7 linked regions of the Nothobranchius furzeri genome follow. The protein of the gene in region 6 purifies or fractionates together with the protein of the main gene of each other region. This does not show direct contact. Links are inferred from orthologs where the notes say so. Each region holds a gene or a part of one and is shown on either strand. Other genes may lie near its edges. The genes, in order: nfkbil1, ppig, upf3b, nos1apa, casein kinase II subunit alpha', RNA-binding protein with serine-rich domain 1 and snip1.

Region 1 (3,937 bases), on a different chromosome or scaffold from region 6:
TAAGATGCGCTGAAGTGCCAAAATAGTGACTACACGTGTCTGCAGCACGATTAGACACGCATTTACTATATAGTTTATCAGAAAAAAAAGTTGAATTTGGGGGTGACTTGCTCTTCAAGGCAGACCTGCTCAAATTCTTCTATTGTTCCAAATCGTGTGCAAAATCTTGTATTATGAACAAAATAAACCTAGAATATCTTTATTTTTATAAACATATCAGTAATTATTTTATCTAATTTCTCAAAGCTCCTGGTAGATGCTTTTAAAGAATCTGTGGCTGCTTATGGTTGAAGCAGGATATTAAAAGTCGGAAAGTGTATAAATTATTTAAAACTCCATCACTTGTACCAACTTTCTTGTTATTTAAGGTCTAATCCAAAATGTTATCTAAAGTCTAGTTTTCAGATCCTCCTTGGGATTTTAAATGTGTGTTCTGGTGTCATTGAGAGAATAAGAAAAAAAAAGATCTCCCTGTTATTTTAAATAAAGGTCCTTTGTTCAGTTGTCAAGGATACAGTAAGACCCCATCGGTCACTACAGCAGCTGTTACAGTTGTTTCAGTAGATTTAGTCATAACATCATCAGAATGAGGTCATGGACATTAAATAAAGCATAAACAGTGAACGGAATCATGCAACTTATTTCTATCAAAGTGTCTTTGTACTAAATGAAGGGAAGAGTTTTGGGGGTTGTTTTTCAGCAACTTTTGTTATGTTTCATACATGCAGAGATACACAGGTGACCCTTTTAAACTATGTTTCCTGAACAGGTGCTATGAAAATGTTCTTTTTTTTAAACGGAAATATGTTTTTTTAGGTTTAATGTGGAATTTGTGTCCTAAAATATAATATAATATGGGGCATCTAAAAAGCAAATACGATTAACCACTCAAAAAACTTTTTTAAAGCAGAAATACAAATCTGAAGAAAACACCTGCATCTAATTGAAATGGGAGGCTACAGTAGATTTTTGCTGCAATCGTTAGAATAGGAGTTTGTGACCATGTTAACTTTTAGGCCGAACAATAAATTATTATTTTTTTGCTTGACAATAAACTAAAAACTACAGGCAACAGCTACATCTTGTGGTTTTGTCGGAACCGTTCTGTCTCCGGAACGTTTGTGTAGGAACCTTTCCGAAACCGAGAGTCGGAGCTATTAAACAGACGGAGCAACGGCCGAGGCCCGACGTAAATTTCTAGATACATATTCTGTTTGTTTGGACACAACATGACTTCCCACCGACATGCCCGGGTGTGGAGGTACGTGGAGGAAGGGAGCTGTTTGAAACTGAAGTCGTATCTGCGGAAGCACCCGGACCTGGACGTGAACTTCTCCCGGGGAAAGAGGCAGAGGAGCCCGCTGCAGTTAGCCTGCTCACTAGAAGACGACGCTATCCTGCGGCTGCTGCTCAAACACGGAGCCGATGTTCTCCAGAGGGATCGGAGAGGAGACACGGCGCTTCATGTCGCTGCCAACAGGGCCCTGAAACACGGGAAAACAGGTGAGAGAGACAAAAGGGGGTTCGATTTATAAAGGTCACGGTGTGTTTCATGTTGGTTTTAACTTCTTTGTTTTTATTCCTAGTTTATGATGACTTGGTCATACCTCTCAAAAAGTCATGTCCCGAAGCTTTAAACGCTCAGAACCGAGCAGGAGTCACACCTCAAGACCTGCTGAAATGGATGAAACATTCGGAGGTAAACAACGACTTAATAAAACTAATTATATCCAGTCCAAAACTCATTTTCATGGGGAAAAGACGTATTTAAACCTAAAACACTCAACAAAATATGTTTCCTTTATGCATCTTCTGTTTGTATCCCATTTATTTATAGGAACGCAGTTATTAAAATTCATGAAGAGGCAGCTGTAAAATAGGACCCCAACAGGAAAAATTCCCCCACAACAAGATAACACTTAATACTGAGAATAAAATATATACAGTGAATATAAGGATTAAAGCAAGAGAAATATAGTTTAAAAAATGTGTTTTTTTTTTTTTTTTTTTTTACAGAAAAGAAACCTGGACATTGTCTAAAGAGCAAGTCACCCCCAAATCAACTTTTTTTCTGATAAACTAGATAAATGCATGTCTACTTGCTCTTTAAATCACCCGTGGTTCTGGAAACCCGAACGACTCTTTTGGAACTTCCACAATGGCTTTTCATAACTTCGGCTAGAAACAGTAAAACTCTGACTGTTGTTTTGAAATATAAATGTAATGAAATATACAGGTTTATGCAGTTTTTTTGTTTTGTTTTTCTTTTCATAATGGTATTAAACTTTCACAACAGGCAAATACAAAATTACCTGCAATAGTTATAATCTATCATTTTCCGCAATTATCAACATCCCACTGTAAAATAAAATGGATGGAAACTTGTCCATATAAAGTTTCAGTTCTCTTGAGTAGATTTTGGTTTTCCTGCACCTTGATGTTTCCATGTGTTCTGGTATCTTTCTCAGATTTCAGACAACACGGGCCGCAGACTGGAGGCTGACACTGAGAAGGAGTGGCTGGAGAAGCTGTTTGGGGAATGCGAGGATGAATTTTCTGAAACCTTCGGGGTATATGATGGTAAAATCAGAATCGTTATTGCAATAGTAAAGTTTGACTGATGCTTTCTATTTTTATTCCTAATGTTGTTGCATTTTTTCCCCCACACAGCTGATGATTATCTACCTGTTGATGAAGAAGACGGAGACTTTGGGGACTGGGCCGATCGCATCAGAAGGGAATATTTTGACAAAAAACACTCTGAAGCTCAAAGACTGGCAAGTTCATCTTCTAAGGGGAAAAAAGAGAAAAAGAAGGAACAAGCAGAGGAAAGCCACAAGAAGCTGCATGAAAGGCTGCAGCGGGAGCATGAGGAGTATTTGGCTCGAGCTGCACGTAAAGAGGAAGAGACTCGGCTGGGAAAGAAGCTTCGATATGACGAAAAGTGTGCTGCTACATTTAATGGTTCCTCCACATCAGACAGCACAAAGCTGCGCTACAGCGACATCCCCTGGCCGTCTCCAAGAGGCACGGTCCATGAGATGGTGGATGTGATGCTGCATGGCGTGAACCGGAAAGATGTGGCGGCGTTACGTAAAGCGATCCGGAAACAGCAAACGCTGTGGCATCCGGATAAATTCGCTCAGCGATGCGAAGCTCGATTAGAGGAGAATGAAAAACGGAAGATTCTGGATACAGTAACAGCTCTGTCACAGGAACTCAACAGACTGGCTCAGAGTTTCAGGACTTAAAAATCACTCAATGTTCTTCATTGGGCATGTGGACATATGTTTATCATATTTATTGACAGCCTAGATTTCTGTTTTCATTTGAATTTTAGACAGCTGTAGTTTCCTTTACAAGGAGGCTCGTGCTAAATAAATTAAGAAAAGCTGCTTCAAATGCATAAATGCAATAAATTATCAATTGGAACAATTCTTGAGATCTGATATCTGCATCATATTTTTGTTTTTGTCCTTCCCTCCCCTTTTTTGTTACCCTTAAAAATAGTCACCTATAGGTAGTGTGTGTAAAGATTTATTTAAGGAAATAAATTTCACTTTACTGGAATTGATTTACAAATTTGGATCTAACTGTAGTGAGTTATTTTTATCAAGCACCCACTGGAAACTTGGCGCTTTTTCTTTGTGAATTTATAAAGCAGACAAGACATGAAATGTCTTCAAAAATAAATTAAACTTGGTTTGAAGAGAAAGAAGTCCAGCTGCCATGTTTTAATCCATCTGGGATTACTACAGATTAACCTTTACTAGTATTCGGTCTGGTTGACCTTTTCTTGGAGTTAATATTATGTGGTCAATAATTTATAGCTGTTCATCTGATTGCCTTATTTATTAAAGTATTTTCTAAATCTTGAAAGAAATTGCTATCATCAGAAAATATTTTTGCTACATGTAGTGCATGTTTATCTTATTAC
Region 2 (4,044 bases), on a different chromosome or scaffold from region 6:
CCCCATGCTGCAAAGAGAAAACACAAACCAGACGTGAAAATGAGCAGACGACGGAATCATTTAGGACTTCAGACCTCTCAAATGCTTATAAACCACCAACTTATGTCTCGGTCGGTCTTCTCTCTTTCTCTGATCGTTTTCATCGGACCTCTGGACAGCTTGTGGACTTCTCCTCATGAGGAACCGATTCTCGGGTACGGGTGGTATTTCTTCAGGGCGCACCGTAGACGTAACCAGGTCCTCTTGTTCCTTTTCTTCCGCATTCTCAGCATCAGACCTGTAAACGTGTTGCACCTTATAAATATGACGATGTTTTTGCATCAGTCAAAAATGAGATTCAAATTTACGTTTTCTTATCCTTTTTCTTTTGTTTCTTCTTTAGTTTCTTTGCTTTCTTCTTCTCCTTCTTAGATTCTGCTCCTGATTCTTCTGAATCGGAGGACGACTCCGAGGAGCTCTGAGAGTCAGAGGAGTTCCCGCTGGAACTAGAGCCGGCCTTCTCTTTCTTTCTTTCCTTCTTTGCTGGGAAAATATTTTGGAGAGAAAATAAAACCAGTTGATAACCAGAACTGGTCTTTTACAAATGACCAGTTTCCACAAACCTTTAGATTTGGGTATGAGCTCTCCACAGTTAAGGATTTTCACATCTGCGTATGGTTTGCTGTTGGGATCTGTTTTCTGGTTCTCCATGGTTTGAACGACTTCTTGGCCAGAGATCACATGACCAAAAACCACATGGACACTAAAAACAGAAAAGGGAAATTATGTATTATGTGAGCTAAATAACAAAAAGCAATTAACAAACCTAAAATAATCAGAAGACACCTACCCGTCCAGATGCGGAGAAGGTTTTGTTGTTCTAAAGTATCACAGCAGGAATGGACAAGAGAGGGATTAAGTCAACATTTAAAGTACACAAATTAAACAATGTTTAATGAAATAAAATTACAATTACATGAAAAACTGGGATCCATTTGTATCTTTGCCCCGATTGGCCATCGACAACAGATACTCCTTGTTGTGCTTAATAGTGAAGCTTTCATCTGGGGGAAAAGACAAGATTGTGACACCACATTGACTTCAATGCCAGACCCGAGGATGAGTGTCAGTTCTGATTGGTGCTTCTTTACCTTCAAAGAAACCTCCATAGATGGATTCTCCACCTCTTCCATTTCCTGTATTGAAAACGTAAAAAAAAATTGAGTCTGAATGTTTTGCAGATGTTTAATTAGGACATCTGCATTCATACTTTGAGTGGTAAAAGATGAAATTCAGCTGGTACGTGCAGCTAATAACTGAAAAATCTTACCACAAGTAGACAATATTTCCCCAAATATTGTGAACACATGTAATGAACTTTCAACACCAAATCAAGCATCCTAAAGGCCTGATAGCCCACCTTCGCTGAAGTCTCCTCCTTGAATCATGAAGTCTTTTACGATTCGATGGAAAAGGCATCCTTTATAGTGCAGGGGTTTCTGAGTTCCTTTACCAAGGCCTTTCTCGCCTGGATGAAGCAACAAAAGCTTGGTAGTAACTGATCTGCATTTTTAATTCTAATAATTTACAAAGACTGATGAAAAAAGGTTTTTAACCTGTGCAGAGGCATCTGAAGTTTTCACAGGTTTTAGGGCAGATGTCTGAAAACAACTCCACTACAACTCTGCCAACTGTGGGGAGACACCAGAGAGTCACAGTTTATTTTTGTTTTCTCCACACAACTGTCACTGCAGTTAGTACAACTAACTATAAATATGCAGTTTAGACAATTGCATTTGATTTGAATGTAAATATGAATGCAATTTGGTTGGGGTGTAGAATTATTTTTGCTTGTCTAAGAACCTTGCGGTACATTTGTTACAAACATTTGAGCTCAAAAACTATGACAAAATACTTTGATATTAGTTGTCCTTACATATTTAATGGATTATTTGGCAAGAATGGGATACTTGCTATAAAAATAAACGAGCCCCAGTGAGATTTGGATTTATTGCGGCAACACACAAACGTTGAAATAAATGCACTGAATATAAATAAATCAACATAATAAATAAACATGCACGTAAAAAGCCTTAATCTCACCAAGAACATTACTGATTCCAATGTCAAAGAAGCAGCGAGGGCGAATCTTGATCCCCATGATCACTTAAAATACCTGTGTATAAATTACACAAATAACAGAAATAAGTCATATCTGGAAAACGAACTCACAATGTAAAAACAGATCCATCAAAAATAAGCTGCAGACGAAATTACTCAGTATGGCGTGCATCTTTTTGTCATTATTTAGTGCTAAAACAGATCTTATGTTTAAATAAAGGCACTGAGTGACGGGAATCAATGGTGGCGTTTGCTTGTTTATTAATTCGCTAGCTAACATTAGCCACCTTGAACCTCATTTGCGCATTAAATGATCAAAAAATACTGCTCAATTATAGAAAGAGTTGAAGTTTTCGTACTTGTTAAGCATAATTTTACCATGTTAACATTTTAACATCGACACGCTTCAGCATCGGTAGGCCTGTCGTCGGCATTAGCATCTGTTAGCGGCACAGCCACGCATGGCGTTTTTATTACTGTGTGAAACGTACCAGGTTCGAGATATTCAGTACACTGATACTAACGCGTCAGCTACGTAAAAAAAAAAAGCATCACCTTGAAAACCAAGGTCCATACAGTGAACCGTCCTAACGACAAAGTTTAAGTTTCATTCAGTGTTTAGCTCACTGTTTTCTAAAGATGGCGCGGCAGGGCACGTCGAGTCCTGCGCCAGTGAACGTCGTGGGGTATTTGATTCCTACGTTTTACCTGCCAGGCACAACATTTACACATCGATAACGCATACCCTGGGATTCAACTGGGTCATTTTGTGCGAGTTCACGATTCGACCACCGTAATCACGATTCCTCCAATATATGTTACCACTTTTGTCCATTAACTGGAAACATTTGCCTTATTAGTGTTCCGGTTGGTTCATTCGCTGTATCTTGGTTTAAACACTTTGAAACGTGCCCTTGTTTGATTCAAACTATACTCAGTTACGATCAGTTGTGGTGCAAAAGCACGACAGTAAAGACGTTTACACAAACTGATCTAACAAGAGTTGACGCCTGAAAGGCATTACCCAGGTAAAAATTCCTCCTCGTATTGCGTCACTTGACACGGAAGTAAAACTCCACTGCACACATGTAAGGTAATTTTGACTTTGAGGTGCATAACTGACTGCATCCTGTGTTTTCAATAGTAATTTATTAATTATTTAATGTGCTGAAATCTAGCTAATAACTCGTAAGTAAACGGTGATAAAACCCCGCTTGTTGGCGCATCCACGTGAGCACGGTGCATTTAACTTAGATGAGCAAAGTAAATGTTTCCTCCCATCTTTGAGATTAAGTCAGCATGAATAACTGATCCATGTAAGTCTTTTAGTATCATCACTCTCACATTTATTTGATTGTTTTTACTTTATGTGTTTTCAAATGATCTCCAGAAAAAACAAAATCTTGTTTTTTTTATGTCACGGTTCAGCCTTCCTCTGTGCCAACAGCTGGGAAATCACCAGAGAAATGAAGACCTAGCCTGAGCCCAGGTGTGTGAGGATGCATCGACTCCGATGTGTGAACCCCTGCCTCACACGGCTCCTTCATTGTGGTGCAGCAAACAGAACCCAGATCCTGGAGGGTCTGCGGGTCTGCTCCAATGAAGACCAGGTGTTTGATGTGGTGAGCAGGAACAAAGCCAAGCTGACTGTGGACCATGTCAGCTGTGCTGTGAGGATGCTGTGGCAGTTCCAGAAAGAGAGACCTGAACTCCTCAGGACCATTGACCTCACAAAGACTCACCCACAGTTCTTAACTCTCCAGGTTTTGGCAGAGAATAAAATTGCTCTTATGAGTGATTTAATGCTGATTGACATACTTTATGCTTTCCTCAGGTACTTCAGCATCATCAATCTGTTTAGTGACTATTTATATGAAATTTAGTTGCTGCATAATAAATGGCCCTCTCTTGCATAGGCTGAAAGTGGAACCACACGAATCTCTT
Region 3 (4,234 bases), on a different chromosome or scaffold from region 6:
CGTGGCTCCGAGACGCCATACTGCTGCTCGCAGGCCTGTCTCTTCACCTAACTCAAATGAACAAAAGCAGAGGTCTGCTCAGTCGTCTACTTTCTCAGCCACGTTCTTGCTCTCAGTATCTGGTTTTCTGTCGGCAGAGTTGGATTCTCTTCTGTCTGCTCCTGGTGTGGCACGGTGGCGGCTCCGGGCCCCTGGCTGGTAAAGCTGAATGGCGGGTCGGTCCTGTTGCAAATAATATAAATAAAATATTACAAAAGGAAAACAAACTCAGAAATTATTTGGCACAAGTGTGAGAAATAACTGGAGTCCGTACCTTATTCCGCAGTCGCTCCCTTTTGCTGCTCTCATCCTTTTTGTTCTCTTTGGCAGCCTTCTCCGTTTTCTCACCGCGAGGGGAATCTGCCATGTTTTCATTCCTCTTCTTCTCCAACGCCTTTTCTTTTTTAATCTCCTCTTCCCGCTTCCTGAACGTGTTCTCTCCATCATGCTGCTCCCTCCTCCTCCGTCTTTCCTCGTCCTGCCGTCTGAAGCGCTCCTTTTCCCTCTGCCGCCGCTCCTCCCGCTCTCTGTCTCGATCAAAGTCCCGCTCCCTGAATTCCTTTCTCCCACTTTCATCTCTTCTAAAAGGAAATCACAGCTGGAGTTAAATCAGTTAAATGTACAAACAAAAGTGCAAAATGCCAGGAAAAAAAGAACAAGAACTGACTTTCTTTCACGATCCTCCTTGTTCTCGATGTTATGTCTCCTCTTCAGATCACTGAATGACCGGACCTCTTTATGTGGCTTCTCTGGTTTCTTGGACTTCTCTTTAGGCTTTTCAGACTCTGCTTCATCATTTCTATCTGGTTTCTTCAGGAGCTGAATATAAAGACACAATCATCATGAGAAACTTGAAATTGACAGATGCATTTTTTTTTTTCACTGCACGAACCTTAATTTTTGGTTCTTCCTTAACGTGGTCCTTGTCTTTCTCCGGCAGTTTCTCAAGTCTTTTCATCTTCTCAGCCTCTTTCCGTTTTCTCCTCTCCTCCTCCCTCCACTTGCGACGCTCTTCGTCACGCAGGCGCTTGCGTTCAAGCTCCCTCCTTCGTCTCTCCTCTCTCTTTTCCTCCCTGATTCTCTGAAAGTTAAAATAGAAAGTTTGATGGATTCTTGCTAACATGCAGTTGAACCAATTTATCCTAAACACCAAAAAACGATTACCACATGCTTACCTGTTTATTCTTCAGGTAGTCCAACAAGGGCGTGGTCTTTTTAGCTAAAAGAAAGGGGAAGAAACCCACAATAAGAAATCTTGTCAAATGCAATGCTCCTGTTTACATACAAGCAGTTATAACAGTCCCATTTTTGGTTCTTTTTTAAACACAGATAAGGTTTTTCTTTACCTTGCTGACGTTTCGTTTACGGCTGCAAACATCTTCAGAGCTGACGCTGATGGTGGCGTCACTTCCTACACATCCACATCAGCGGCAGCTCTGAAGATGTTTGCAGCCGTAAACGAAACGTCAGCAAGGTAAAGAAAAACCTTATCTGTGTTTAAAAAAAGAACCAAAAATGGAATTTGAAGACAAACACAGCAAGTGATAACGGTGCTGTCATAAACAAACCTTCAAGTTCTTTTGATCTGGCCTCGATCTCCTCCAACAAGGTCTCAGGCGTAGATGTCAGCTTCTCTTCGTCTCCGTTGTAATATTCAAGAAATTTTTTATAATCAGGATCTGATAAAAACACAAACATGCTGAGCTATAGATTTTTATAGATAGATCTCAAAATAGATATGTTAGGGACGAACATGGAGTTTCTTCAAGCTTATTTCTTTTTATAACAGAGAAGATCAAAACCACCAGACAGTTTAAACCCTTGCCTTCAGTAATTGTTCCACACTTCGAGTCCTTCTTCTTACTTCTTTTCTTGGCTATCTTTTGAAACGGCGCAAACTCCACAATGGCTGGATACTCCTGTCCTGTTGAATGGCCAAACATAAACAAGGACAGTCTCAGGTCAACGCTCTGGAACACTTCACAGAAAACTGGGTGTGTGTTCTTGATACCTCTGTTGTCTATGAACACATATCCATCGAATCGATCTCTGAAGAGAACAATATCATCTTCATTTTTGAAACTGATGTAAGCCCTCGCGAAGAGATGGGGATACAGGCTAAAATGACCGGAAGTGCCATGTTAGACCAACACAATGAAGGAAATGCTAACAGTCATTTTACAGGTGAACTCACCTGGTGTCGTTTGAGAAAAACTCCATGTAGTCCACCTCTGGGAGAGGCTGCAGCTGCTCCTCTAACTCCTCTTTAGACAGACTTGGTGGTAATCGTCTGATTACAATCTACGAACACATTGTAAAAAGTTCACTACCTTAATTACTAAGCAGGGCTTTGTAAAATGAAATTTTGGTCCAGTCTTTAAATGTATAATTTCAATCGTAGAACATTTTATCTGAAAACAAAAACAAAACAAAAAAGTTAAACCATGCTTTTATTTAATAGAACTACACGAATCCAAAACTGACGTCTGTAGCAACATTAGCTGCTTTAGCTAGCAAGTTTTACCTTTGTCATGGCCTCTTTCTTTTCTTTTGACTTCTCAGTCTTTTCTCCATCTTCACACTTTAGCTCCACTTTTTTCTCCTTCGGTCGAGTGTTTTCTTTGTCTTCTTTCATAGCTGAACGTCTACAGAGATCCACAGCCTGCTCTCATCTCACTCAACAGACTTGTTTACTTTTCAGAGAGTTAGCCAGCTAGCAGCTAGATACTAACCGCTCGAAACTTCCTTTCTGACTACTGAAGCTGCATTTACAAGTTTTTACCAGGAGGTGGCGCTAAATACAAAGCAATTACACATTTAAAAAAAAATGTTTTTGGTAATTACTATTTTCGGTAATTACTGGTAATTATATTTTTGTTAATGTCCATTCTAAAATATTTTTCTATAGTAAATTTTTTTGTAGAGCTAGGGTTAAGTCTGATGTAAAGTTAAGATTGAGATATGTCTACTGTCCACTTAGTGACACTAGACATCTTTTTATTGGAAACATTGCATTGTTTCCCTATTTGTGTTTCAAATTTTCCTTGTTCGTTACTTTTATGTATTTGATTAATGTATTTTGTGATACGTTTATCCCACGACCCTGCATGGACTAACAGGTATAGAGAGTGGATGGATGATACTTTTATTTTATTTATCTTTTAATAGTATTACCAAATTGTATCTTTATCTGTTTATAAAGTTACTCTATCTATCTATCTATCTATCTATCTATCTATCTATCTATCTATCTATCTATCTATCTATCTATCTATCTATCTATCTATCTATCTATCTATCTATCTATCCATCCATCCATCCATCCATCCATCCATCCATCCATCCATCCATCCATCCATCCATCCATCCATCCATCCATCCATCCATCCATCCATCCATCCATCCATCCATCCATCCATCCATCCATCCATCCATCCATCCATCATCTAGTAAAGTAAGTAAGTAAATTTATTTATATAGCACTCATCAAAGACAGAAAACCACAGTGCTTCACATAGATCAAAACAAAACAAATCATAAAGTCATAAAATCATAATGATCTTAAAAAAAGATTAAAACAGAAAAGTTAAGTCATTAAATGATAAAATACCATAAAACAGATGAAAGATGATTTCTAATTTTGAGTTAAAAATAAGAAAATAAAAGATTTAGGTAAAAGTAGCTTTAAATAAAAGGGTCTTTAGCTGTTTTTTTAAAAGTGTCTAAACTGTCAATGCTACATAAAGATAAAGGAAGATCATTCCAGAGTCGGGGTGCAACAGTCTGGAAGGAGCTATCCCCTCGACTTTTATATCTGGTCTTTGGAACATCTGGAACGTTCTGGTGAGTGGACCTGAGGGCTCGGATTGGAGCATAAGGCTTTAACAGTTCAGTAATATAGGGCGGAGCTTGACCATGTAGAGCATTGAAAGTTGTCGTCGTCGTCTTCCTCCGCTTATCCGGGTCCGGGTCGCGGGGGCAGCATCCCAACTAGGGAGCTCCAGGCCGTCCTCTCCCCGGCCTTGTCCACCAGCTCCTCCGGCAGGACCCCAAGGCGTTCCCGGACCAGATTGGAGATGTAACCTCTCCAACGTGTCCTGGGTCGACTCGGGGGCCTTCTACCGGCAGGACATGCCCGAAACACCTCCCCGGGGAGGCGTCCAGGAGGCATCCTGACCAGATGCCCAAACCACCT
Region 4 (3,500 bases), on a different chromosome or scaffold from region 6:
AGGTATCGGTCCTGCTGACGGGTTGTGTACCTTCTACGGCCCTGTCCAGCTCTCAGAGAATAACCGCCAGTCTCCTGAAATCTCCTCCATGTTCTGGAGATTGTGCTGGAAGACACATTAAACCTTCTTGCTGCAGCACGTGTGGATGTGCCATCCTGGAGAAGTTGGACAACCTGTGCAACTTCTGTAGGGTTAAGCAATCGCCTCATACCGCCAGTAGAGAGCCAAAACCAGCACGAGTGGAAAACCAGCCGAAAAAGATCAAGAGGGAGAAACTTGAAATGACCTCTACGTTTTAAACCAGTCCTGTTGTGAGGGTTTTGTAATTGTTGCCACTTTAGTGCACCTGTCTTTAAGTCCATGAACACCAATACAGCTGAAAGTGATTAACAATGCCCTCAGCTGCTTAATCAGGAAACCAGGAAATTATCAGACAGGTTTAATTGATTTCATGCCAGGCCCAATAAAAACAGTGTTCCTTTAATTCTTGTGAGCAGTGTAAGTGTATTTCCAATTTCCCTTGCCTAGCACACAAAGCTCGACTAGTTAAAACAGCATCTTTAACTCAATCACTGCCAGCGTTTTTCAGCATTTTCACATTTTTTACGGCAGCGGCCCAAAAGGATCTCCTAACACATGGACTTTCTGCTTCCTGATCACGTGACGTGCGACGTATGCGGATGAAGATCGGCTTTGGAGCTGGGATGTTTGTTCTCACGGTGTGGGGGCTCGTCCGACGCCCACACAGTAAAAAAAAAATGCAAATTTGGCAGTGAATTAGTTAATTATGAATGTTTGATCAACCAACCAGTCCTGAAGGAAGCAAGATAGTTCTGTTAGATGTTGAAGAGGTCAAGATTCACACACGGACGAGGGGTGACAGCAGCCGGGAGGTCAGGTGTGAGAAATTGTGTTCCCCTGAAATATTCTGTTTCTCCAGAAAACGATGCAATGTAATAATGTCATGCTTGTGATGTATTTCTTTATCTATGTGTCCTCCTACAAACAATAAAAAAAGGTACAGTAAAGACATTCTTGTTCCAACAAGCTTTTTTTTAATCATTTTTGAAAGTTATGTAAAAGGAAATAATCTCAGTCAGGTTAACTGTCTTTATTTGAGGTAGTTTATTCCTCATAATGGACAAGAAGTCATGTGAATTTGGAAACATTTGCTCTTGAATGCCTGAGGGAAGCAGAATGTTTCAGGGGAAGATAATTTTCCACAACACCTGTATCACGTAGATCTTCAAGGCACTCGAGGAGTACAGACGCTTCTCTCTTTCGCTCCCTTATCTTTTTTTCCCAAGGCTCTTTGTGCTTTCTGCCCACAGAGAGCTTCTCTGCGTTTCTTCTGAAAAACTCTATTTTTACTAACCATGGATTTGATAAACTGGTCATTCAATGCGATCGATGATTTTTTTCAACAATGAGAACGGAGCAGGGGGCTCCCACATGACCACAGGGGACACACCCGGTGGGGTATATGCTGGATTCCTGGAGGGAATGGTTGATCATATGCCTCTCCCAGCTGTCCACTGAGGACATCGAAGACGTGTGGATATTCGGCCTGATGATGATCACTGGATTTCTCCTGATTGGAGTGGGAGGATATCTGGTTTTCTGGAAATTTAAGAAGACGGGAGAGATTGGAGGGCGACCCGCACCCACGGAAAGCACCGACCGTGTGGAGACTTCTCAGACTGGGACGTTACTCAAGGTGAATCGTAAGCTGGACAATGTTCTAGCTGCGATACCGGTATTAGTGCGCAAAATGGATGTCATCTCGGAGAGTCACCGGACGGTATGGACAGGCTTAAAAACCCAGAATTGGCTTCACTGAAGGACTGGAGTGATCAGTTTAAAGACTGACGGCAGAGAGGAAAATTATCTCAGCCTGACCCAAACAAATTCTTGTTATCCAAATCTGACGCCTTGGTAGCCTTGAGCTGCAAGCAAATAAACCCCCCACGAAGGGATGCAGACAGATGCTGTGAACCCTCCCCCCCCACACACACACGGATTGGTGGACTTCAGCCTGGCGAGGTCATCAATCTGTAGGAGTCAATGTACTCTTTGCTTCTCCCAAGATCTCCCTCCCACCTGTGACTACAGTGGCTGAGCGCCGTAGATGGCTGCTCTTGCTGGGGGAAACAGGATTATTGTTTATTGTTCAAACTAGCTACACCGAACAAAAATATAAATGCAACGCTTTTGTTTTTTGCTCCCATTTTTCATGAGCTGAACCCAAACATCTGAAACTTTGTCTACATGCACAATAGACCCAAGACTCTCAAACGTTGTTCTGAAATCTGTCTACGTGTGTTGGTGAGCACTTCCCCTTTACCAATGGCGCTTACACATTAGCGTCGGCACGGTCGGGGTTTGGTCGAGCTGGATGGTGTGAGTTTGGCCTCGAACGGGCGGTGTGGTGTTCACATAAAAATCTGGGGGACGTCTCAGGAATGCGGAAATCCTCGAGCCTGTGGGCGGAGTTAAAGACGCGCGGGAACATCCGCAGTGTCCTCCGTTGTAAGGTAAACAAAGGTGGGCATGAGCTGTGTTGCTTTTGGAGACTCTGAACCACATTATTTTATTAATTTGCTGTGTGTGTCCTCATAATCTTGTGTGACGCTAATGTGTAAACGTCACAAGAAAATCCATCCCACCTCACAGGTGTGGCATATCAAAGGGACATGAATAATGTACAGGTGTGCCTTAACTGCCCACAATAAATGGACACCCTGACATAAGTACAGTTTTGCTTTATCAGTATCTGGTGTGGCCACCATTTACCTCACGCAGGGCAACACATCTCTGTCACACAGAGCCTTTGAACTTACTGGAATTTGGTCCGGCCATCTTGGTTTCCAGCTCCTGGATCTGTTTAACCAGCAGCGAGATGTGCTGCAGCAGGTCTTTGTTCTGCAGCAGCAGCTGATGGACCCGAGCCTGGGCCTCCAGCCGAGCCGTGGCCTCGGCGCTCAGCTGGTCCTTCAACAGGTGGACCTGCACGGAACAAGAGGTAGAGGAGAAGAAAGCCGAGAGAATCAGGAATGTTTCAACCATTTTCGAAATTCTCTTTATATTTTTACATTTTTTATTTTTGTGAAGCGCCTCGTGATGTTTATCTTGAGAGGCGCTATAGAAATGATATTTTCTTCTTCTTCTTTCCAGTCCATTGTTCTGAAAACCCGGAGCGTTTATAGGGTTTTAATAAAGGGAGCAGCTGCATTAGTGGCAGTTGTGATCCTCATGTAACCTTAATGCCGCGGCCTGCTGCGGCCCCAAGATTAAAGCCGAGGCTCCGTGTCCATTTGAGGCTAAAAAACTTTCCCACATTGAATGATTTTTATAGAAGAGGAGGCAGACTGTACAGTCAAATGACTTCCAGCAGCAGAGACTCCCTGCTCCGACCTTAAAGTCCTCCCAAAATCAAACCTCTCCTCCCACTGTGTTCCCCCGGCTCTGGTCCGACGCACCGAGCTGCTTTTTAAAGTTCA
Region 5 (4,249 bases), on a different chromosome or scaffold from region 6:
GACCGGATTAACGCGGCTGACACGCCGACATGCAAAACAGCCACAGCGTGTTTCAGACTCACCACTGGGTCTTTGACGTTGTCAATCAGGCGGATGATGTTGGTTCCACCTCGCAGGTTTTCAAGAATTTTTATTTCCCGTTTGATCTTCTTCTTCTTGACGGGCTGAGGATGAAAGGAGGTACAAAGATCCACTCAAAAAAGCTACATACAAGGAAAAATAAAGTCTAAGCACTTTGTCCGTGACCTCAGAACATGAAAATGGATTACTCAGACAATTGTGTAAGACAAATAAACCTACATACATGACATTTGTTACAGGATGGACTGCTGGGAAGTCAAGACATCTCACCTTGAGGATTTTCACCACAACTTTCTCATTGTTTGTTACATTTATGGCCTCAAATACTTCACTGTACTTCCCTCTGCCCAGTTTGCGCACCAGCTGGTAGTTGTCTTGGTTGCTGAAAAGAGAAAAATATTTTAAGTGTGAATAAAAAGCTGTTTGATTATGCTGATGGTAACTGTAGTAAGATATTCTGTACCTCCAGTTTGGCATGTGTGCGTCATAGTCCCAATACTCTCTGTTCTTCTGTGTGTTGACATCGGTGTACACCCGAGCCTTGCTGCTGGCCGGCGAGGATCCGGGCATCGCGAGCTTCGACGCTCCGTGTCGGGAAACTCCCCCTTCCTCAGAATACTTGTTGTCGCGATACTGGAAGGCAGCGCAGCGGCTGTACTGAGTTTGAGGCTCTAAGATCCCTGTGTTGTGTTTACCATTGGCATTGGCTGCTTGTGCTCTCTGGTGAAAAGCACTGACCTGGTCCACAGGGGTGGCTGTGCAGACCGACAAAGCTACAATTATTGACTGAGTGAAGCCCCTGAGACGGATGTTAGACAGGATGGGATGAAGAACCGCCAGCTGTTGGGAAAAAAAGAAAAGAGCAGAAAAACCTGGAAGTTATTTTTTTATTACCGACTTGGCTGTTATCTGCATATAACTGGTATAAAAATGGTCTAAAAACAACAAAAGTATCAAGTGTGCAGCTGCATGCAAATGTGCAAAGTTAGTAAAAATAAATAATCATTAAACAATTAGACAAAATAAGTTACAACTTTGGACTTTTCATTTGCCTTTAGAACAAATTATTGCAGATCAATTCTCAAGAAATTTTTAGAAAAATATTTCTAAAATTTAACAATTTTACATTTAAAATGATCTGTGAAAGCTGTGAATCAACTGCAGCTTATTCAGAATGCTGCTGCTAGAGCCTTAACAAGAACCAAGAGAAGCGAAACACATCACTCCTGTTCCTTAATCTCTTCACTGGTTACCAGTAAACTACAGAATCAATTTCAAAGTGATTCTATTAGTTTAAAAATCACTCAATGGCATGGGGTCAGAATGCATGTCGGACCTCCTTCAGGTACATAAACCCAGCAGGGCTCTGAGATCCTTAGTAAACAGGCAGCTGGTAAAACCCTGGGTCAGAACCAAACAGGGTGACGCTGCTTTTAGCTACAATGCTGCACACAGAATAAATCAGCTTGCTTATGACCTCAAATGTGCCCCAACTCAACTCATGTAACTTTTAAATGAAAATGGAAAACTTTCATGTTTTCATCAGCCTTTGAATGGCTGTTTATATAACACTGCACATTCTGCACTGTAACTGCTTTCTTCTTTCATTTTTAAATCTAAATTGAATTTGTGTGTATTATAATTGTGATGTCGTATTGATTTTAATGTTCTTGTTATTCTTGTTAGTTGGCAAGCACATTGAACCGCCTCTGTGTGTGAAATGTACCAAATAAATAAAACTGCCTTGCCCTGTTCTCTGAAAATCCCTAAAGACTTTGGTTGTGTAGATATGGGCTCAAAAATCCACATTTTTTTCAACTACTATGTACAATAAAATATATAAAAGATGTTTTATTTGATCAGATCGTGTTTCACTTGTTTTGTGATGTTGATCTTTACCTGATCCGTTTCCTATAATTCAACGTTTCTTTCGTAGCCGTTTTAAGTCTATCATAATTTTTTCCGACATATTAAAACTTCCCGTCACCATGTATGTCTTAGCAGTCGTTTGAGCTTATTCACACCTTTCTTAAATCGGTGTATACTTCTCTAAAGTAACGTGTAGCTCTGGAAGTCTGATATATTTGCTGTCTACAGATTCCTCTCCTCTAGGCCCGTTCATGCTCCATCACCGCTATGTTCTGGTTCTGAAGAGCTTCTCCTCTCAAATACACATTTAATTCCCTCAAACGGCTATGAAGGATGTGAACAACGGGCTACTCCACAAGCTAACTAGATGGACCAGTTGTAACTGTCAGGAAGATTAGGTAACATCCTCTGTTAGAAATTCAACTGATGCTAACTAAGCTAACGAGTAACGATTACCTGTTTAGTTTATACAACTTTAAAATACAAACTCTGCCTCAAAAATGTGGAATCACAAAGACATTTACCGTCTGAATTCACATCTTCTTGCATACGAAACACGAATTAACCGCAATAATTATCAGCGTCGTCATTTCGGAGGCTAAAGTTAGCCGGCTAACCTCGTCGTCGGAAGCTGGAGCGCAGAAAACGTCATCAATGGTCGTTGGCTCGCGGGTTAACTTTGATGTCCGCGCGGTGATGTAAGCCCAGCAGGTCCGAGGTGATTGATAATGTGTCTGATTGATTGACTCTGACTGATGGGTGGCGGTGGTGGTGGAGGCACATCCAGCAGTTCTGCGGTAAACATCACCCGGAAGTTAACCGAGACGGAGCTCCTCCATCAGCCAGAAATGTGTGTGTGTGTGTGTGTGTGTGTGTGGGGGGGGGGGGGGGGGGGGGGGGGGGACCAGAAAATAAAATTAATACACGAAATGAATCACCGCACCTGACTAGTGCTCTTCAGTCTGTTTGCACTTACTTTTAAGTTACGGGACATTTAAATATTTTCTTCATAAAGACTGCAATAAATGTCACAATGAAAATGTTTTTATACAATTAATATTCCTAAAATTATTTAAAATACGGGAATCTCGTAACATTATTCAAAAGTTTCATTATTCTATAATTATTTGGTTTTTTCACCATTTTTGTTTCATGGTTTAAAATCTACCATCAAGACTTTTTGGGAGTTTCTGAGTTTTTGAGAACCAGTTGTGTCTGTTTTCTGTGAGGGACAGACTGAGACATTACTCACTATGCCCAGTGATGTGCATACGACGTTATTTAACTTTATATTGTCTCACCGGCTGTTTTTCCTGCATATCAGCTGAAAAACGTTCAAAATAGCTACGTGTTTGTTTCAAAGTAGACAATGTTATCATAAACGAATTTACTATTAAAAGATGATTTCAAGAAGACTAAACGCCAAATCAATATTTGAGGAGACAAGATGGGCACAGAATTTTCCAGTATGTCAACGAATGTATGAATTAAACCATCAAACAATTTTAAAATAATTTTGGAAGTGTGGAGAGCTGGATCGTGTACGACCATCAGAAAAAAGTAAAGTAAAATAAATGTTATAGTTTGAATGTGTAGAAGCTGAATAGTAAAAATAAACTATGCTAAATAGATAAAACAAAATGTTGACTTTATCGTATATCTGCAATTAAACATACATTTGAATTATTTTACTTGCCATTACTAGTATCTTCATTATATTTGGAGTTCTAGAGTTTAACATTTTAGCTATGTCAAAACAAATAATATGTTATGTTACATTAAATTTATATTGGCAAGGTGGATTATCTAATAAATCTAATTTCTACAAATATGGGATTCCAGAGACAATAATGTGATATTTTAACTAAGTCTCCTGCTTTAAATTTGTTTTTATTCATATTTGTTGTGGCCAATAAAAAACAATCAACTTTACTGTTCATCAGCCGAACTGGTTAGATCATGAGCTGGAAAATAATTTTTACATGATACATTTGATGTAACTAGTTTTCAAGTCTAAAATACGACCAAATGAAATCTTATTTTTATCTTTTCCCAAATGAATTTGCAAGATTTTTTTTATTTGAATGTTCTTGATTCATTCATTTTCTTTGCAATATAAAACAAATTAGGGATGTAAGGATACATTGATACACTTAAGTGTCACAATATTTCGTGTTATGATACAGAATCGATCGTTTTAAGCAGTGTATAATTTTTTATTGCGAATTTACACACATTTAATAAATTACTTTTGCCTGTTGCAATTCAACCTCCGACCACTAAGTGGCAGCAGTTTCCA
Region 6 (3,982 bases):
TCTGTTTCTGCATCTTTATTTTTTAAAAGTTAAAAGGACGTAATACAAGGTAAAAGGAAACAAAATGTTTGTAGATCCCGGTAGAGGCAACATAAAACTAAGCTAACTTTTCTGAATCAACTTAGCACAAAATTTAAGAAAAAATCAAATGGAACAGAAGCACTCTTGCTATGACCACACATACAGCGTAGATGATGGCATTTCTACTGAGTCAAAGGAGTCTGAGAAAACGAGGGTTGTAGCTGATCAGCATCACAGCGTAGAAAACCACATGACATCTGAATGAGTTTATCTGGAGGAGTTGGAGCTGGAGCGAGAGCGATGGCGCCGGCGACCAGGAGACCTGGAGCGGGAACGGCGACGTGCCGGGGATCGTCTCCTTGGAGAACGAGACCTGAAACAACAAAAACGGCATTATTACCTGTACACGTGTGTGTGTTTATGGCTGAAACTGTCTGTAGGCGATACCTCCTCCTCATGCGTGGTGGGCTGCGCCGCCACATAGGAGGTGGTGGGGGCATTCTGCGAGGAGGAGACAGTCTGCGAGGTGGTAGACGGATCCGTTGAGGCAGAACAGCAGCGGCTGTGATTTCCTGTCCGTCAATCTGACCTGTTTTTATAATAGTCATAAAAAATAATCAACACACAGAAAAGACCCCCAGTGTTCCTGAGACCCAGAGGCTGTTAAATTGAACATGCACACCAACCTCCGTCCATGTGTTTAAGGGCCTTCTGTGCCTCCTCAGGGGTCTCAAACTCCACATAAGCATGGCCCTTGCTCAGGTGTGGGTGCATCCTATCCATCTGCATGTCAATCATTTTGATTTTTCCATAAGTGGAAAAGATCTCCTGGATGTGATCCTGGTACAACAGAAATAGAAAGGTCAGATATTCTCTCAACTTTGACACAAAATTATCTTGATGCCAAACAAATAAAACAAACTCTTTATTTTCTCCTTTTTGTTTTGAGCAGAGCATTGCTGATGACTAACACACCCGATGCACACAAGAAAATCTTCTCAGATTTTATCTTTAATTACTACACATTAAGGATGTGCGTGGCTGTTCTTGTGCACTTACATAACCTTGAGATTGCATCATAGTCTCAAATAAAAGCAGACATGATGAGAAAGAGAAAGCAGATGTTCTTCATTTAAGCTAACCTTGGTAACGTTTCTGGTCAGCCTTCCTAAGTGAACCTTAGTGGGTTTGACAATCGGGCTTCGTTTCCTTCGCTCTTTGTCCTCTCCTCTCTTCTGTGTTTTAGACCTGAAAAATCAGAAAGCAGTAAATAAATAACTAGAAACCAAAAGTCATCGTAAACACTGAGACACGAACAAAGACTTACGGTGATCGGGAGCGCCGGCGGTTGTCATGGCGCCTGCGGCTGGGGCTCGGCGAGCCAGAGGAGCTGGAGGAGGATGACGATCGAGAGCTGGACGATCCAGATCGACTGGTGCCAGAAGAGCTGGATCCACTCGAGGAACCTGAGCTAGAACCAGAGCTGCTGCTGGATGATGAGCTAGATCTGGATCCGGTCACAATCAGAACAAATGAAATGGTTTGTTAGGAATTTTTAGCACAGATTTCTCTAGTGATATAACAAATGAGAAGGAACTCAGACCTGCTGCTGCTGCTGCTTCCAGAAGAGGCACTACGACGTTTCCTTACTTTGTCCCGTCCTCTCTCTTTGTCTCCTTCCTTGGTGGCAGTCTTCTCTTTGCCCCTATCTTTAGATTTTTCTTCCTCCTTCCTTTTCGTAGGAGATGGTGCCCTAAAGTGATGTAAACATCTGTTAGTTTAGTTGTTTTACACAAATGGATTTAACAAATCTAAGAGCTACAAATTGTGGGAATGTTCAAATTCATGCAGAATTCAAATCTGGGTCTAATCTGTAATCTCAACAAGCTGAAAATGAAACCCAAAAAGTGTATTTTGTGTTTTCTGTCAGTTAAAATGAAACACAAAGCAACATTTTAACTGTTGTGTTTAATCTTTAATGCTAAGGAATATTTCTTTAGTGTGATGCACTACCATTACTGTGGAATTACCACAGAACGCTAAGTTGTTATTCCAGCTGTTAAAACAACAGACTAGTCAATAAACTTCTGTCTCTTTGTTTAGAATAATTAAACCCCAGTAGGTTTATTTCCTTTTGTGCAACAAAGATTTTTATAATTTTATTTTCTTGAACATTTATCAAAACTACACTGATGTCTCAATTTTAAAATAAATCCCTTAATGTAAAAGCAACTGATAAAAAAAACTAATAACGTTTTTCTCCTAATATTACACAACTTATCTGGCACCAAAAATTCAAGCCGTAAGCTAGCTGAAAGAGACTAAACACGATATACATGATTTATAACTGAAATAAATAAAAACAATCCACATCACACATAGTTTAGGGAGCACCAAATGTCTGCTGGAAATCGTAAACATTTGTTATGTTATTATAGGAAAAAGCAGCACTCAGGCAGAAATCCGCCGCCAACGAGTTTCATTCAGCCCGCTGCCTCTAAACAAGGAGAGCTCCGACCATGCCGTTAACCGATCACTCAGCTCTTCACGCAACAAGCACACGACGGTAAAACACGCCTGGGTTTTCAGAGTTGATTAACTAAGCATCACAACTAAAAACGGACAGTTTTAAGCCAGGAAAGAGCTCAAACCTACATTTTTTATGGACGATGTAGCTCTGCTTCCACCACTTGCGGCCTGTTCGCTTGTCGACGGTTGATGACGCCAGCGGAAGTTGCGTTCCTGCTTGAGCGCCACTTACAACTCATTTGTTTATTTTACGACGTTGACGGTGAAATATCAGCTTGCATTTCCGACATCTCTGTAGAAACACAGACGGACGCGCTTTTGGATATGAAATGAGTTTGTCAAGTTTGAAACGGTGGTGGGGCTTCGCTGTTGTTGACAGAGAGAGAGAGGTACATTAATGACAGATGTTGTTGACAGCTAGCTCAGCTAGCATCTGTTTTCCTGTAGATATGTGTCCAATGTTGACATGTAGATGCGGTTTGAGCTGTTGCGTTGCTGTAGCGCATTACGCGTTAGGACAGTGTTAACAGCTGTCTTTAAGAAGACACAGATCACAGCCATTGACGGACTGCATCAATAAATTCATATTAATCTGTTTTCATTGAGAATGGAAGTTTTGGGGCTTGGTTTGTGTTTTGAAACGTTCACCGTTTGGATTTCTTTTTTAAGGATTCCGGAGTAAAAAGGTGAAATGATCATGCATCATGCCTGTAATTTCACCATGGTTTAACCAGGATTTATTAAGTGAGCTCATATCCACATGCGTGAAACAGCCTCATGCTTGTTTTATAAAAGATTAATTATTTGGTCTCCTGATTACTGGAGTTGATTATTTGTACCTTTCAAATAACCATGTTTAACTGAGGCATTAATGGTCCATCTATTTTCAAGAAACTCCTGAAGACCCTGCTCTTCAGAGAACATCTTCTAAACTAGCACCCTCCCTGCACCCATCCCCTCTCTACTGTCCACTCCTTGTTCTCCATGATTCATCATGCTGCCTCACTGCCACCAACTGACTGGAAATTGTTTGTTGTTGTTACTGTTGTTGTTAGCCTCAAGGGCAACATGCTGATTATCACTTGTAAGTCACTTTGGAATCCAAAGTTTGGACTAAAGCGTCTGCAAAATACATAAACATCTATCTATTTAAATGGATGATTAAAAAATATTTAACCTGAGGTTTTGTTGCAGCCATGTGACTGGATGCTACATACGGTATGTTGATTATACATGTTCATTTCTGAATCAAGTGTGAGCTGAAAGTAGATTTTTATTTGCAGAAACATTATTTCATTTAAAAAAACTTCACTTTTCCTAAAATCTGGTTTCAATACCTGCACAGCCCTAAAACCTACATTTATGTCCCATTCACTTGTGCTTGAGATCATGAAGTAAAACGTGTGTGTAGATATGCTGATGAAGGTTCTCA
Region 7 (4,211 bases), on a different chromosome or scaffold from region 6:
ACATAAATGTGGAGCAGAGGTTTTAACCAAAAGATGGAGATATAATTATGGTTTTGGGCTGAAGTATCAAATTTTAAGTAAGACGCACTAAACTGCTAACCTAGTGAACTAGACCAAATTCTTGCTTTGCAAAGTAAATAATACATTTATTTAGTCTGGCTTGCCAGGCTACTAAACTGCCACATTAATGATTACACGTGTGTACAGCCCCATTAGACACTCATCTGTGCAAGTTATCAGCACAAAAAAAAATAGTTAATTTAGGCGTTACTTGCTCTTTAATAACAATCACAGAGATTTTTTTTAATAATCTATATTTTAATTTACAGTAGAAAAATGAACTCTTACTATCAATACACCTGAACTGACAAAATCAAACAGGGAAGTTTTTGTATAAATGATGCAGAAACACATAGCATCAAGTATTTCCCCTCCACTACAAAAAAAAGCAAAAAATAAAAATACAATTATTATATTCTGTGTATTTATGTTCATTAAGTCAATAAGAAATGCTTTCCTAAACATAAGGTTGGTTTTCCAATGATGTACCCTGACATAACACATGAGATCAGCCATGCATTAATCCTGAGAAAGGAGGTCTACTTGGAGACAGGTGTGGCAGGTTTAAGCAAGAGTTCAATATTTACACAATATACATAACAATCCAACCACGTGGTGTGAATTCCCACGCACAAGATACATCGCTCCACTTTCTAACATTCTCATTGGTCTTATCCATCATAAATGAATTTAGGCACAAACACATTGGGAGTAATTTACTCAAGACCCTCGTCTTCTTCTTCTTCCTGCTTTGCATCAACTTCGCTCGTGTCGGAGAATTCGTGCAATAGGACGTATTCGCGGCTGCTAAAGCCAAACTTGAGAACGTCTTTTTCTTTGAGCTCGTAGTAGCGCTGAGACTCGATCCGCTGGTTGTTCAGGTAGGTACCGTTGCCAGAAGCGAGGTCGATGATATAAGGCCTTACCCTGCGGCCAGTGGTGCCGTCTTTTCGAGTGTACTCCACTAACCTGCAGAATAAACAGAATCCTTAGTTGTATATTTTCCCCACAAATCTAATTAATCACACAGTGAAAACATTTACATACAACATACCTGTATTGGAATACTGCATGTTGCTTGGAGCAGGATGGGTGGTCGATGGGGATATCAGCGATCTTTCTTTGCCGCCCCAACAAATAGGCACTCTGTCTGTGAATGTACATGACAGGAAGGGGTTCATCATTCTTGAAAGGGTACAATCGCCACCTGCGCTTTGGAATTCGAGCTTCCTGTGGCTCGTTGTACTTGATCACCACCCCACGGAACGTGTTGGTGTCCTCTGTGAGAGCCCCTGACAATTCAAAGTTGGGCTTCTCTTTATCAGCAGGCGGTGCCCCCGAGTCGCTGCCGTCTCCCTCAGCTTGTCCAAACTCCTGTTCTTGATTTTCTTCACGCCGCCGCCGATTTTCCCTACGCCGCTCATCGTGCTGCCGCCGCTCAGCTTGCTGAGTCACTTGGGAGTTTCGCTCACGATGCCTCTCTCCATCCCGGTCCCCGGACCTGTTATGTTCCCACCTGCTTCGTCTTTCATCTGGCTGCTCGTTCCTCCTCCTCCGCTCATCGCCGCTAGATCTATGCTCATCACGCTCCTAAAACAAAAACACAAAACCTTCATGACTACAAGTTGAGACAAGTCAGTTTCAGTTTAGAATTTTATAATCACCCTCTTTATTCTAGAGTCACTGCTACAATGAGGGCTGTGATTTCTCTTGTTTCTGGGAGATCTGCTGTTTCGTCTAACAGGAGAGGTCTCCCTTCTGCCTGGTGAGCGGTCTCTTGTCCTCACGGGTGACCTGTGTGAGGAGCACAAAAGAGAAAACACTCTTAAGCCACTCGTATCAGTTAGGCAGCATTTACAAACTAAAATAGTAATAAAGTCATCTTTCAGTGTTAGAGATTGTAAGAGATCAGGTGTGGGAATTAAACAAGATTAATCAATACTTTGACTTTGCATTAAATATCCAAAATGTGTGTAGAGGATCTAAGATGTTAGTTTTTGATACCAATTAATAAAGTTTTGATTAGCTAAAACGCATGTTTTAGCTAATTGCCATTGGATTTTAGAATATTACTACACATTATAAGAAATTTAAATAAATGTAGCTATATAAACTATATATTTAGATGCTTTTGATTGTTTCTTGATTTGTACTCATTCGAGTAAGACAGGAGCTTGGTTAATAATCTAACTGACGTACTATAGGCACTTGAAGCTGAACGTGATATAGTTGTAAATACACGTGTTAATAACAATCTACTTACTGTGATATAAAGAAATAACGTAAATTATCTGAACTTTTTTTTTCTAAAAAGCATTTCCTTTGAAGATGTGTCAACTTAAGTCACATTTAAATTCAGTTATTAGAAAATAAAGAACATCAGATCTGAATATTATCACCTTGGTGGTGCTCAAAGGGCGACAAACGCGTGTTTACCTGCTGGTTCTTCTCCTCTGTGGACTGGAGTTGTCTGTGGATCTCGACCTCGAGCGGCGTGATTTCTGCGGCCTACTCGGACTCAATTTCTCCTGTTTTACTTTCACTTCCGGCTCTCGCGTGGGAGAATCTCTTCTCTTGTGTCGCTTCTCTTTGGCCATTTTTGAACAAAATCCGTCAACTTTTTGTGGCTACGCAAGCATAGTTAGCCACAGAAGCAAACAAACGCAAAACCCACCAAACGGTTGCTAAAGTTGCGTTCCGTTTCCGTTTGGCGCGCTGACAATTTCTTCCGACGTGGTATATGTGCTTTCAACTAAACGTTCCGCTATGATGACTTCCGTTCCGTTTAAAGATAACACGGATTAAATCATGAAAACTACAGATATTTTTATGAAGCCGTAAATTCAACTCCAAGTGGATTTGAGCTATTTTTCTTTTTTAAATTGCGCTTAGATCTTTTTTTTTCTGTTTTCCGGCAAACGCCCGAACGTTACCATGACAACATAAACAGCTATTTCTGTACATAAAGGCGTCAGGATGATTGAATTAGACGATTCTCTCTTGAAATATGACGATCCCGTTTTGGTTAAGAGGACAGCCTCAAGCTCAACCAAAGTAAGTCGGACAAACCCTAAAGGTGTGGATTGAAGGGGTACCATTAACGGAAGTTGTTGGAAGAAACACAGAGCAAAGAGATCCAGACTTTTTGTGCCCTACATTTTATTTATTTATTTCTACTCTGTACGGAAAAGGGAATAGAGCCACTGACAAGGGAAAAAACAACAACTGCTGCCCATCTCACAAACCAGAGCGGAAAAAAGCACATCGGCTTAAATTATACAGATGGGAAATAACGCCAGTTAATTACTTAAGTGTTGTTTGTGTGCTTGTTGTTCAGTAGCTAATGCTATAATTAATATAATCTGGCTTTTTTCATAAACCCCACACACTGTGCGTGATGCGCTTTTGGCAAGGCCGGATTATAATATGGGCAAACTGGGCACAGGCCCAGGGGCCCACAGCCACAAGGGGGCCCACGCAAGCAGCAGTCTTTTTTTTTGTGTGTGTGCAGCAGTCTCACTCGCCCCCACTGTCCCACAGATTGACAACATTTTTGTTAGTACAGACAGAAGAGAAGACAGGAGTGCTGTGAGGAAGAGAGACAGAAAAAGAGGAGAAAAGAGAGAGGACAGAGGAAGAAAGACACATGAGTGAGGCACAACAGGAAAATCATCAGGCATGAGTGTTAAGGGCTCAACACACGGGAGGCGACATCACCTCTCCTCCATTCATTTTCAATGAGACATGCGCGACAAAGCGATAATCGGGGGTCTCTCTCCTACTAAGCGAAACGCGAAAAACGTGCGTGTGAAATTTTGCACTCGTGCACGTGTCGTGCACGGACGACCCAGCGACGCGATCCCAGAAAGTTGAAACATTTTCAACTTTTCATCGCTGTCGCTCAGACGAGGACCAATCAACGGAGGTTTCATTCACTGACCAATGAGCGGACAGGATGCTCTATACACCTCCGAGCAAACATGAAGGAGAAGTTGATTATTATTATGTTTTATAGTAAAATCACAAGTAAGATTTCACATAACTCTAGCAACAACTTGTGAAACATCATATCTACCGCTTTATTAACTCTGAACTGCTTAAATAACCTTAATTACCTCCAACCTGACACAGCCAAACAAAACAACGGAAGT

The links.
Region 1: the proteins of RNA-binding protein with serine-rich domain 1 (region 6) and nfkbil1 purify together in Homo sapiens (co-immunoprecipitation; 3 studies listed by BioGRID and IntAct, with this or other methods). This does not show direct contact. The link is inferred for Nothobranchius furzeri from reciprocal best matches to the Homo sapiens genes RNPS1 and NFKBIL1.
Region 2: the proteins of RNA-binding protein with serine-rich domain 1 (region 6) and ppig purify together in Homo sapiens (co-immunoprecipitation; 3 studies listed by BioGRID and IntAct, with this or other methods). This does not show direct contact. The link is inferred for Nothobranchius furzeri from reciprocal best matches to the Homo sapiens genes RNPS1 and PPIG.
Region 3: the proteins of RNA-binding protein with serine-rich domain 1 (region 6) and upf3b purify together in Homo sapiens (co-immunoprecipitation; 5 studies listed by BioGRID and IntAct, with this or other methods). This does not show direct contact. The link is inferred for Nothobranchius furzeri from reciprocal best matches to the Homo sapiens genes RNPS1 and UPF3B.
Region 4: the proteins of RNA-binding protein with serine-rich domain 1 (region 6) and nos1apa purify together in Homo sapiens (co-immunoprecipitation; 3 studies listed by BioGRID and IntAct, with this or other methods). This does not show direct contact. The link is inferred for Nothobranchius furzeri from reciprocal best matches to the Homo sapiens genes RNPS1 and NOS1AP.
Region 5: the proteins of RNA-binding protein with serine-rich domain 1 (region 6) and casein kinase II subunit alpha' purify together in Homo sapiens (co-immunoprecipitation; 3 studies listed by BioGRID and IntAct, with this or other methods). This does not show direct contact. The link is inferred for Nothobranchius furzeri from reciprocal best matches to the Homo sapiens genes RNPS1 and CSNK2A2.
Region 7: the proteins of RNA-binding protein with serine-rich domain 1 (region 6) and snip1 purify together in Homo sapiens (affinity purification with mass spectrometry; 4 studies listed by BioGRID and IntAct, counting the BioPlex papers as one, with this or other methods). This does not show direct contact. The link is inferred for Nothobranchius furzeri from reciprocal best matches to the Homo sapiens genes RNPS1 and SNIP1.

Annotation. Positions count from the first base shown.
Region 1 is NC_091746.1:51,383,777-51,387,713, reverse strand, and holds nfkbil1 (NF-kappa-B inhibitor-like protein 1), read left to right. Parts: upstream 1-1,150; 5' UTR 1,151-1,229; coding exon 1,230-1,503; intron 1,504-1,586; coding exon 1,587-1,699; intron 1,700-2,468; coding exon 2,469-2,580; intron 2,581-2,670; coding exon 2,671-3,251; 3' UTR 3,252-3,437; downstream 3,438-3,937. UniProt on the Homo sapiens protein: Involved in the regulation of innate immune response. Acts as negative regulator of Toll-like receptor and interferon-regulatory factor (IRF) signaling pathways.
Region 2 is NC_091754.1:20,285,307-20,289,350, reverse strand, and holds the start of ppig (peptidyl-prolyl cis-trans isomerase G), read right to left. Parts: upstream 2,801-4,044; 5' UTR 2,656-2,800; exon of another isoform or gene 2,460-2,655; intron 2,156-2,459; 5' UTR 2,141-2,155; coding exon 2,083-2,140; intron 1,671-2,082; coding exon 1,596-1,670; intron 1,508-1,595; coding exon 1,400-1,507; intron 1,176-1,399; coding exon 1,131-1,175; intron 1,044-1,130; coding exon 956-1,043; intron 860-955; coding exon 830-859; intron 743-829; coding exon 603-742; intron 523-602; coding exon 348-522; intron 278-347; coding exon 101-277; intron 8-100; coding exon 1-7. Other genes in the region: fastkd1 (FAST kinase domain-containing protein 1, mitochondrial), read left to right, coding at 3,600-3,934, 4,017-4,044. UniProt on the Homo sapiens protein: PPIase that catalyzes the cis-trans isomerization of proline imidic peptide bonds in oligopeptides and may therefore assist protein folding. May be implicated in the folding, transport, and assembly of proteins.
Region 3 is NC_091741.1:85,713,660-85,717,893, reverse strand, and holds the start of upf3b (regulator of nonsense transcripts 3B), read right to left. Parts: upstream 2,801-4,234; 5' UTR 2,675-2,800; coding exon 2,564-2,674; intron 2,341-2,563; coding exon 2,234-2,340; intron 2,158-2,233; coding exon 2,051-2,157; intron 1,964-2,050; coding exon 1,865-1,963; intron 1,719-1,864; coding exon 1,608-1,718; intron 1,259-1,607; coding exon 1,215-1,258; intron 1,121-1,214; coding exon 932-1,120; intron 859-931; coding exon 707-858; intron 621-706; coding exon 314-620; intron 223-313; coding exon 79-222; 3' UTR 1-78. UniProt on the Homo sapiens protein: Involved in nonsense-mediated decay (NMD) of mRNAs containing premature stop codons by associating with the nuclear exon junction complex (EJC) and serving as link between the EJC core and NMD machinery.
Region 4 is NC_091748.1:76,139,026-76,142,525, reverse strand, and holds part of nos1apa (carboxyl-terminal PDZ ligand of neuronal nitric oxide synthase protein), read right to left. Parts: intron 3,007-3,500; coding exon 2,841-3,006; intron 1-2,840. UniProt on the Homo sapiens protein: Adapter protein involved in neuronal nitric-oxide (NO) synthesis regulation via its association with nNOS/NOS1. The complex formed with NOS1 and synapsins is necessary for specific NO and synapsin functions at a presynaptic level.
Region 5 is NC_091749.1:31,588,393-31,592,641, forward strand, and holds the start of casein kinase II subunit alpha', read right to left. Parts: upstream 2,801-4,249; 5' UTR 2,475-2,800; intron 922-2,474; 5' UTR 820-921; exon of another isoform or gene 715-819; 5' UTR 652-714; coding exon 545-651; intron 464-544; coding exon 352-463; intron 165-351; coding exon 63-164; intron 1-62.
Region 6 is NC_091752.1:58,150,660-58,154,641, reverse strand, and holds the start of RNA-binding protein with serine-rich domain 1, read right to left. Parts: upstream 2,801-3,982; 5' UTR 2,679-2,800; coding exon 2,677-2,678; intron 1,775-2,676; coding exon 1,625-1,774; intron 1,529-1,624; coding exon 1,349-1,528; intron 1,270-1,348; coding exon 1,164-1,269; intron 862-1,163; coding exon 708-861; intron 611-707; coding exon 469-610; intron 395-468; coding exon 289-394; 3' UTR 1-288. UniProt on the Homo sapiens protein: Part of pre- and post-splicing multiprotein mRNP complexes. Auxiliary component of the splicing-dependent multiprotein exon junction complex (EJC) deposited at splice junction on mRNAs.
Region 7 is NC_091745.1:70,706,732-70,710,942, reverse strand, and holds snip1 (smad nuclear-interacting protein 1), read right to left. Parts: upstream 2,801-4,211; 5' UTR 2,658-2,800; coding exon 2,497-2,657; intron 1,855-2,496; coding exon 1,725-1,854; intron 1,651-1,724; coding exon 1,115-1,650; intron 1,030-1,114; coding exon 777-1,029; 3' UTR 298-776; downstream 1-297. Other genes in the region: dnali1 (axonemal dynein light intermediate polypeptide 1), read left to right, coding at 3,037-3,114. UniProt on the Homo sapiens protein: Required for pre-mRNA splicing as component of the spliceosome. As a component of the minor spliceosome, involved in the splicing of U12-type introns in pre-mRNAs. Down-regulates NF-kappa-B signaling by competing with RELA for CREBBP/EP300 binding.